Rattus norvegicus: one gene and its partner. The protein of the gene in region 2 interacts with the protein of the main gene of each other region in a pairwise test. Links are inferred from orthologs where the notes say so. Each region holds a gene or a part of one and is shown on either strand. Other genes may lie near its edges. The genes, in order: Acot8 and Pex5.

Evidence for each region.
Region 1: the proteins of Pex5 (region 2) and Acot8 interact in binary tests that used the Homo sapiens proteins (3 or more experiments, as listed by UniProt). The link is inferred for Rattus norvegicus from reciprocal best matches to the Homo sapiens genes PEX5 and ACOT8.

The regions. Positions count from the first base shown.
Region 1 is NC_086021.1:173,959,675-173,963,580, forward strand, and holds the start of Acot8 (acyl-coenzyme A thioesterase 8), read right to left. Parts: upstream 2,515-3,906; 5' UTR 2,285-2,514; coding exon 1,995-2,284; intron 508-1,994; exon of another isoform or gene 506-507; coding exon 369-505; intron 1-368. Other genes in the region: Zswim3 (zinc finger SWIM domain-containing protein 3), read left to right, coding at 2,581-2,735. UniProt on the Homo sapiens protein: Catalyzes the hydrolysis of acyl-CoAs into free fatty acids and coenzyme A (CoASH), regulating their respective intracellular levels. Displays no strong substrate specificity with respect to the carboxylic acid moiety of Acyl-CoAs.
Region 2 is NC_086022.1:158,980,234-158,984,139, forward strand, and holds the start of Pex5 (peroxisomal targeting signal 1 receptor), read right to left. Parts: upstream 2,501-3,906; 5' UTR 2,311-2,500; intron 2,264-2,310; exon of another isoform or gene 2,117-2,263; intron 1,778-2,116; 5' UTR 1,762-1,777; coding exon 1,615-1,761; intron 1,148-1,614; coding exon 1,112-1,147; intron 716-1,111; coding exon 583-715; intron 413-582; coding exon 281-412; intron 1-280.

The DNA of each region.
Region 1 (3,906 bases), on a different chromosome or scaffold from region 2:
ATCATGAAGAAACAGACTGTGTCTCACGTAATGAGTCTCAGTGAGTGTGATAAGGATTCAGGATATTTCCGGATCCTGCCTCAGCCTCCCAGGCGTTGAGGTTACAGACCTGAGCCAAGCAATGGGCTCCCTCCCCCTGCTTTTTCCTGGTACCTGAGATGGAACACAAACCCTTCCCTGTGCCAGTCAAGTGTGCTGCCACTAAGCCACATGCTCAGCCCCTAGGTACCTTTCGCCTCTCCCTCTTCCTCATCCTCTTCTCTAATTCTCCCCTTTCTCTTGCATCAGCCTTCAAAGCCAGGAAGCAAGAAGTAACCACTGGGCCACCAAGGGGGGCTGCAAGCAAGGCGCCAGGGTGCGGGGTTTACCTGCCCGGACAAAGTAGCAGTGCAGGGAGTGCACGTGGACGTCTTCACTCACGGACTTGGCTGCAGCCACCAGAGCCTGGCCCACAATCTGACCCCCAAAGAGCCGCTGGGAGGTAGGTACCCAGTAATGCCTTCCTCTGTGGGGAGAGGAAAGTGGAAAAGACTGAGGGTGCTCTGAACCCCATAAGCCTCAAAAGGATCTAAGGGTATTTGGGTCCTTTTTCAGAACCTGAGCAAGGCCGAGGAGTCCACTCTCACATCTCTGACATCACCGCATAAACCTTCAGTCTTCACATCTACCCGAGTTTTCCGTGGACTTCAGTCAAATAGAACGAGCTAACTCCCTCGTTTACAGCAGGAGTACAGGAAGCAAGTCCACACAACTCAACCATTACCAATCCTGGATGGTTTCAAGTCCACAGCTTCTTCCCCACCCCAAACCAGGGAAAGGGAGAGACCAGAAGTTTACTGAGGCTTTGAGTAGACGTGAGGAACTCCAAAAAACAGATCTGGGGCTGGATCATATGATGAAGGCTTGCCATTGGCACTCCTTAACCTGACAAGGCAGTTCTTACAAGAACTGGTTTCAGAGCTGAAAAGACTCCGAGATTACCCTTATCTCCCCCCCCCCAAAAAAAGGTCTAATTGTCAGAGTCTGAGGTTGTGAAATTTAATGCAGATGCACATTGGTCTAGCTTTCTAGGTGAAAGGCCTTGCCCAGTGCTAGAGCCTGAACCCTGAGTCCTAGCACCCAGCCCGGAGGTTGTCACTTTTTTCATTACAATACAATTTGAAAAGCACTCCTGCCCTAAGACAGTAATTATCTAGCTGGAAGAAAGATAGCTTCTGATAAAACCATAATAACTGTACAGGTCAGAACTGTCACTAAACAAGCATGGTGACACACACCTTTTGAACCCAGGACTTGGGAGGCAGTGATACCCTGATCTCTGTGAGTTTAAGGCCAGCCAGGATGACACAGAGTTCCAGGTCAGCCAGGGAGGGCTATACAGAGAGCCTATCTCAAAACAAAACAACCAGCCAGGCTTGATGGTGAATTCCTGCCAGCATTTAGGAGGCAAATGCAGGTGGAGCCCTATGGGTTATAGTGAATTCCAGGTCATCCAGGACTATATTTAGTGACACCCTGTCCCTAAACAAAACAAAAAATTGTTACAAACCCACTCTGCAATCACCAAGTTCAGTGATGCCTGGAAGAAAACATACCCCAAGTTAAGTAATAACTTACCAGACCCCAATTAATGATGCAGGGATGGCTTGAACACACACACACACACACCCCGATCAGCTGTTACCCTCAGGGAAAATCACTGCCCTTTCTTTATTGACTCAGATTAAGCTGCCTTGTAGAGTAACAGTCTCTCTGTCTCTATCTCTGTCTGTCTCTGTTTCTCCCCCTCTCTCTTACACACACACTTCCCCCCCACCCCAGATCGCCTCCTGAAGAGCAAGGATGGATGTCAGGGACATGCCTTCTAACTGCAGCAGAGCATGCACCGGGCACTGAACTCTTAACCCCAGAATTGAGGTTCACGGGGAGATGGCAGTAATCGCGACTCTACTGAAACAAGGGTGCGAGCCTAGTTTAGAGGTGCCGCCGGCTACCTGTAGAGATCTTCATCTAGAGGCTCGAGGTTGAGCACGCTGGTGACCAGCACACTACGCAGGTCCCCGGAAAGGTCGCCGCGGTCGGCGTCGCCATTAGCATCTCCTAGGTCCTCTGGCTTTGACATTTTCACTGCTTGCTGCAGATGAGAGAAACGCGGAAACTTATATAGGCACCCAGCGCTTCCGGCAGGTCGCTCCAGGGGCCGGAAATCCCTAGGGTTTCCGTGTGCGAGACGCAGATTCTGATTGGTCGTTGTGCTTGTCAATTTCTGAGTGGGTGTGGCCATATCTATTTTAAGATTGGAGACTATTTGTGCCAGTTTAGGAGATCCGCGTGTGATTGGGTGAATCAGCGAAGGGGCGGAGCATTGGAGATGAATAATAAGGGATGAGTGTCATTTCCCTTCTGTCACAGAGCAAAGTCGCCCCCAGGTTGCTGTTACCGGTCTCTTCTCCGGCTCCTCCCAAGCTCCCAATAAGCCACTCAGTCCGGGCCACACCTGGGCCCTTGCCAGCCGTTACCCAGTGACCTCTGACCCCTGGCGTGATTCTGGCTGGGCTCTGTGAGGGCCAGTACCCCGCCATGGAGCTAGGCAGCTGCTTTAAGACCTACGAGGACTTCAAGGAGTGTTTCAGCGCCTACAAAAAGGAGACCAGGTGCTCCTTCATTGTCAGGGACTGCGTCTCGGTCCGCTTCCATAACCTCAACAACGGCACCTCTTTCCGCGAGGACATCCTGTAAGGGCGGGGCAGGAGGGTGGGGAGGAGGGCTGCCTGGAGGAGGAGGGCGTGCATGGGGCCACGTTGCCCACGCCTGCTGAAAAGCGAGGGAAACCTCACGGGCTTAGGCTTGGGCTACCCGCTGTGCTTGGTCCCACTCCTTCATTCACAAGCTTTTCTGGGAATTCGCAGTTAACTGCCTCTTGTTGTTTTTTGTTTTTTGTTTTTTGTTTTTTTGTTTTTTTTTTCCCCGTTGTTTGTTTGTTGAGAGCATCTCTCTCAAGCACAAAGCTTGTCGGGGAGTGAATCCAAACGCCTTGGCAATTTCCTCCATTAGTCTCCCGTTTACAAAGCAGTAATGTGCTCATTGGTTGGTTGGTTGGTTCTTTTCGTTGATTGATTTTGTAAATGATTCCTGAGCTCCAGATACAGCCGTTTTCAAACACCTTCCTTATCCAAGGTGCTTCCCAGGTGCCTTCTTTACTCTGCAGGGATGAATGTTAGAATTATTGATGGTAGTTCTCGGACTCATTTGACTCTAGGGGCTAAAAAGCTGGGGAAGGCTCCAGTGTTTTTAGGGTTCGGGTGAAACAACCTACTATAAATTTAGCTTTTAGTTTTACTTTAAAAGAAAGAATGATAAGGGTGCAGGTTTAGAATCCCAGTGCTAAAAGGTTGAGGCAGGAGGAGCATGAGTTTGAGACAATCAGCTCTTAAAAAATACAGGGAAAGGATGGTGATGGTGCTTGCCTTTAATCCCAGCACTCGGGAGGCAGAGGCAGACAGATTTCTGTGAGTTTGAAGCCAGCCTGGTCTAGAGAGCAACTTCTAGGACAGTCGAAGCTAACAGAGAAAACCTGTCTTGAAAAACTGAAGAGGGGGGGCTGGGGATTTAGCTCAGTGGTAGAGTGCTTACCTAGGAAGCCCAAGGCCCTGGGTTCGGTCCCCAGCTCCGGGGGGAAAAAAAAAAAAAAAAGAACCAAGAAAAACTGAAGAGGGGGAGGGAGGGAGAGAAGGAGGGAGAGAGAGAGATGAGAAGCAGGGCTCCCTGACTCCCTTGTGAAAAGGAAGGCTCATGTGGCCAGACTTTTGCTGTGAAATCTAATCATTGTATGAATCAATGTGAAAGTCAATTACAATAGTCAAGTCAAGTTTTAATTACAATATCTAGGCCAACTGAGTGTCAGAG
Region 2 (3,906 bases):
CCACCCATCCAACCTCTAGCTCCTCTCTACTCAACTTAAGTTACTGATAAAGAGGCAGCTCTAAGCTCTCGTTCATTCTCTCCTCCCCGCTTCCTCTCTCTTTTTATCTCCACCCAAACCCACATTTCTCTTTATTATGTTTTGATTACCTGCAATTGCTCTAAGAAGTCACATTTAACATCCTACAGAAATGAACCAAGAACCTGTAAGTCATTAGCAGTCGAACCCTCCCAAGAAGAATGAGGACACCGCACAGAACAGATCTCCCCAGGAGCCTCACCCGTGACTTCGGCGATGAATTCTTGGGACCAGTCGGTCTCGTTATAATCCTGAGCTACATCCACAGCATCTCCAGCGGCAAGAAACTCCTGGGCCCAATTCTCAGACAAAGCCAAGTCTGCCACACCAGGGGCTTATGAGAAACAAGAGAAGAGTGAGAAACAAAGAAAGCAGGTTTCTATCATTCCTTCACGCTCACTCCTGGACCACACTTCCCTTGTCTCCTCTGCACCTCAGTTCCCCCGACACCAGCAAAATCAAACTCTTCTGGCCTCTTCCCTTCTCACCAGGTCCTGAACCCACCTCTCTGAGGAGCCTGGCGAAAGTTTGACTGTTCAATCTCCTGCATCTCCGCCAAGAGGTCATCCATCTTGAAGGTCTGAGGGGCTCGGGATACAAGAGTTGCATTCTGGTCCTGCAGGAATTCTGCCACCAACTGTTACAGAGAGACGGTCAGATGAACTATTAGGATCAGAGGGGCCTCAGCCAGGGGCAGGGCCCACTGATGTCGGACAGAAAAACAAAAACTACAGATAAATAAAGAAAAAAATTCTATCCGTAAATTAGGAAAACAGAAAAATACCCCAAAAAAGTAGATGGGAACACTGGCAAATAAATCTCATTCGGTAAAGAGAGTTAAGTATGCATAGACTGCTTATAAAGGTAGAAAGAAAGAAAGAAAGAAAGAAAGAAAGAAAGAAAGAAAGAAAGAAAGAAAGAAAGGAAGGAAGGAAGAAAGAAAGAAAGGAAGAAAGAAAGAAAGGAAGAGAAAAGAAAAGATCACCATGAGTCAAAAAAAGAAAAAGACAGGAAGTAACCTTGTTCTATTTACCTCATCTTCAGTGCCTACTCCCAAAGGCTTGGAAACCTAAGACAGGAAGGAAAGAGGCAATACACAGAGTGAGAAGGCCAGAGGCTACAACCCAACTTTAACTCTACTGCTTAGGTGACCTGAGGTAAGTCAAGAAAGAGTCTTCACAAAGACTCAGCTTCTTTTATTTTTTTTTAAGATTTATTTATTTCTATAAGTACACTGTAGCTGTCTTCAGACACACCAGAAGAGGGCATCAGATCCCATTACAGATGGTTGTGAGCCACCATGTGGTTGCTGGGAATTGAACTCAGGACCTCTGGAAGAGCAGTCAGTGCTCTTAACCACTGAGCCATTTCTCCAGCCCAAGCCTCCGCTTCTTTGTCTATAAAATACTAGTCCTCGTCTGTGTAAAGATGCACAATGCTCACTCCAGTGTTACGGAGTGGCGACTATTACTTTAACAACAGAGAAAGCAGCTATCCAGGCTGAAGGAATGGACTCTCCTGCTCTAGAACACTCACCGTTTCCGCCGCTGAGGCTCCTGGAGGCCAGGGGCCAGGCCTCAGTCCCTCCTGCCGAAGGGCCTTGTCCTGGGTGAAGTGGGTGGCCAGCTTCATCAGCGGGTTGGCACCCCCACATTCGCTCTCCACCAGCTCCCGCATTGCCATGGTGACCACCAGCTCCCTGATGGACAGAAGATTAGAACTGTGGTCCTGGAGCCAGACTTTCCCAAAGCAAGCCAACAGCCCCTATCTAGAGCAGGTGGGCCCACGACGGTTCCACAAGGGCCAGGCCTCCAGGGCCACCCCCTGGATGGACCCCATCCAGCTGGGTCTGGCGTCCAAGAGGAGGCTGTGTCCTCCTGTCTTCCCACTCCAAGCCATGGCTTTCAGGGCTTGGGCTACCCCTGCAGCCGTCAGGACCGCATCTCAGACACCACCCGCCAGCAGCAGCTCTACAAACGGGCCTGGACCCCTGGGGAGCACGGGTAACGCATCGTAAACACTAGACACCGACTCTAACCGGACAAGGGAGAGCGGGAACGCCTCCGACCGCACACCGGAACCCGCACCCCGGGTCAGGCTGGCGCTGCGGGTCTCAATCTTAGCTCGTGTCACCTGAGCCCCCTCCCCCGCCGCGCCTGTCCACGCCCCGTGCCCCGCGCCCCGCGCCCCCAGCCCGGTCACCCCAGCCCCGACCCCGCCCCACGAGGCTACCGCAGCGGCGGGGACTTGCCCGGACCCGCGCCCCCTAGGCTCCAAAGATCACCGCCGCTGGTCGCACCGTCCGGCCGGCCGGAGTACCTGGGGTGGGCTGGGGGAGGGGAGGGGGCGGGAGCAAGGGGGAGGGACTCGGCCTTAAAGGGGCCTGGACCGCGGCGCTGCGGCCCAGCTCAACGGAAACGGGCGAAGGGGCGGGGCCTCAAACCTGCGCAGCGTGATGGGCGGAGCCGAGAGCCTTAAAGGGGAAGTCCTAGGCAGTTGGTTTGGGGAGTCCTCCAGTAGTCCTTAGAATGCTGGGATTTATTTAGTGGAAAACTCAAAGGAATGGAGCTAGGAGAGGCTTCTCTGGTTTTAGAGGAAAACCAAGGTTTTCCACGGTTCAGCTCTCTCTCCTGGGTTTCCTCCTCCTCTAAATCCGGGGGATTTCGGAGGTCAAATCGTGACCTGCTTCGGCCTCCTAGGCCTGACCCCCTTCCAACATGCTCCTTCAAGACAGCGTCACAGCCTCCAAGGAGACAGGGGCCTGCCTCTACCATTTTTGCGTAAAGAAGAAAATAGCGCCGGATGATGACAAATTCTGGTGACTAAAATAGGGTCCAACGTATTTTGAGACCTCAAGCCGGTAATGGATGGGGAGAGTGAAGTGAGTCACTCCTCTCTCCTCTTTCCTACTGGTCAAGGTCGTGATGGCCTGATTACCCGCAGCTCCGAGTTGGGAAAACGTGGCAAGGAATACCTTTGATCAGGGAATATAAACCTAAGCCTCAGGCTTCACCATCTGCCAGAGAACTGGCGCCGGTGCCAAACCTCAAGGTCACTGGAAAACAAACCTTGATATATCACCTAGGTCCAAGACCAACGGACCTCTTGACGTCCTGGGAAGGAAGGGGACGGGTTCAGAGTGCTGGTAGGTGGGCTAGGAGGAAACTGGTTCTAGAGAGACAGGACGGTCCCCGCCCGGGTAGCGGGAGAAGAAGCAGGTAGGTGGCGCCCTCGGGAAAGCTTGGTTCTTTGCTGCCCTGAAGATTTCAAAGGTAGCCCTCCTCGGGGAACACAGTCTGTGTAAATTCATCCCTGGGAAGATAGAAATTGCCCTTATAACTACAATGGTTGAACAAGGCAGAATATTGTGCAATGTTTCTGTCTTTAGTACACTGTCAATATCTTTCAGAGGCCCTAACACACACCCCCATTCTCCTTGACCACAAATTCCAGACCTGTCCACTGTTTCCAGGCTGCCATTGTAAGGAAAAAAAACCTAGCAACCAATAAACTGAACCACACCAAGGAGGAGAGGATGCCTTCTTGGAAGAGAAATACTTTAAACAGGAGACTCTCTGGAGAAATCAGTATTTAAGGAAAGCATATGATGGTTTGAATTTCTGAACATCGGGGAAGCATCTCCCAGAAGCACTCAAAGTCCATCACACACATAACCTCCTACTGTGCTAGGAGGTTAGTAACTGATTAGCAGAGATTTACTGGGCCACGATCTTGGGAGAGTAATTGTGATAATAACCGATGCTTATGAAATGCATGCTAACCCCCAGGTGTTGCTTTAAGCACTTGGTGAGCATTCACGCTTTTAAT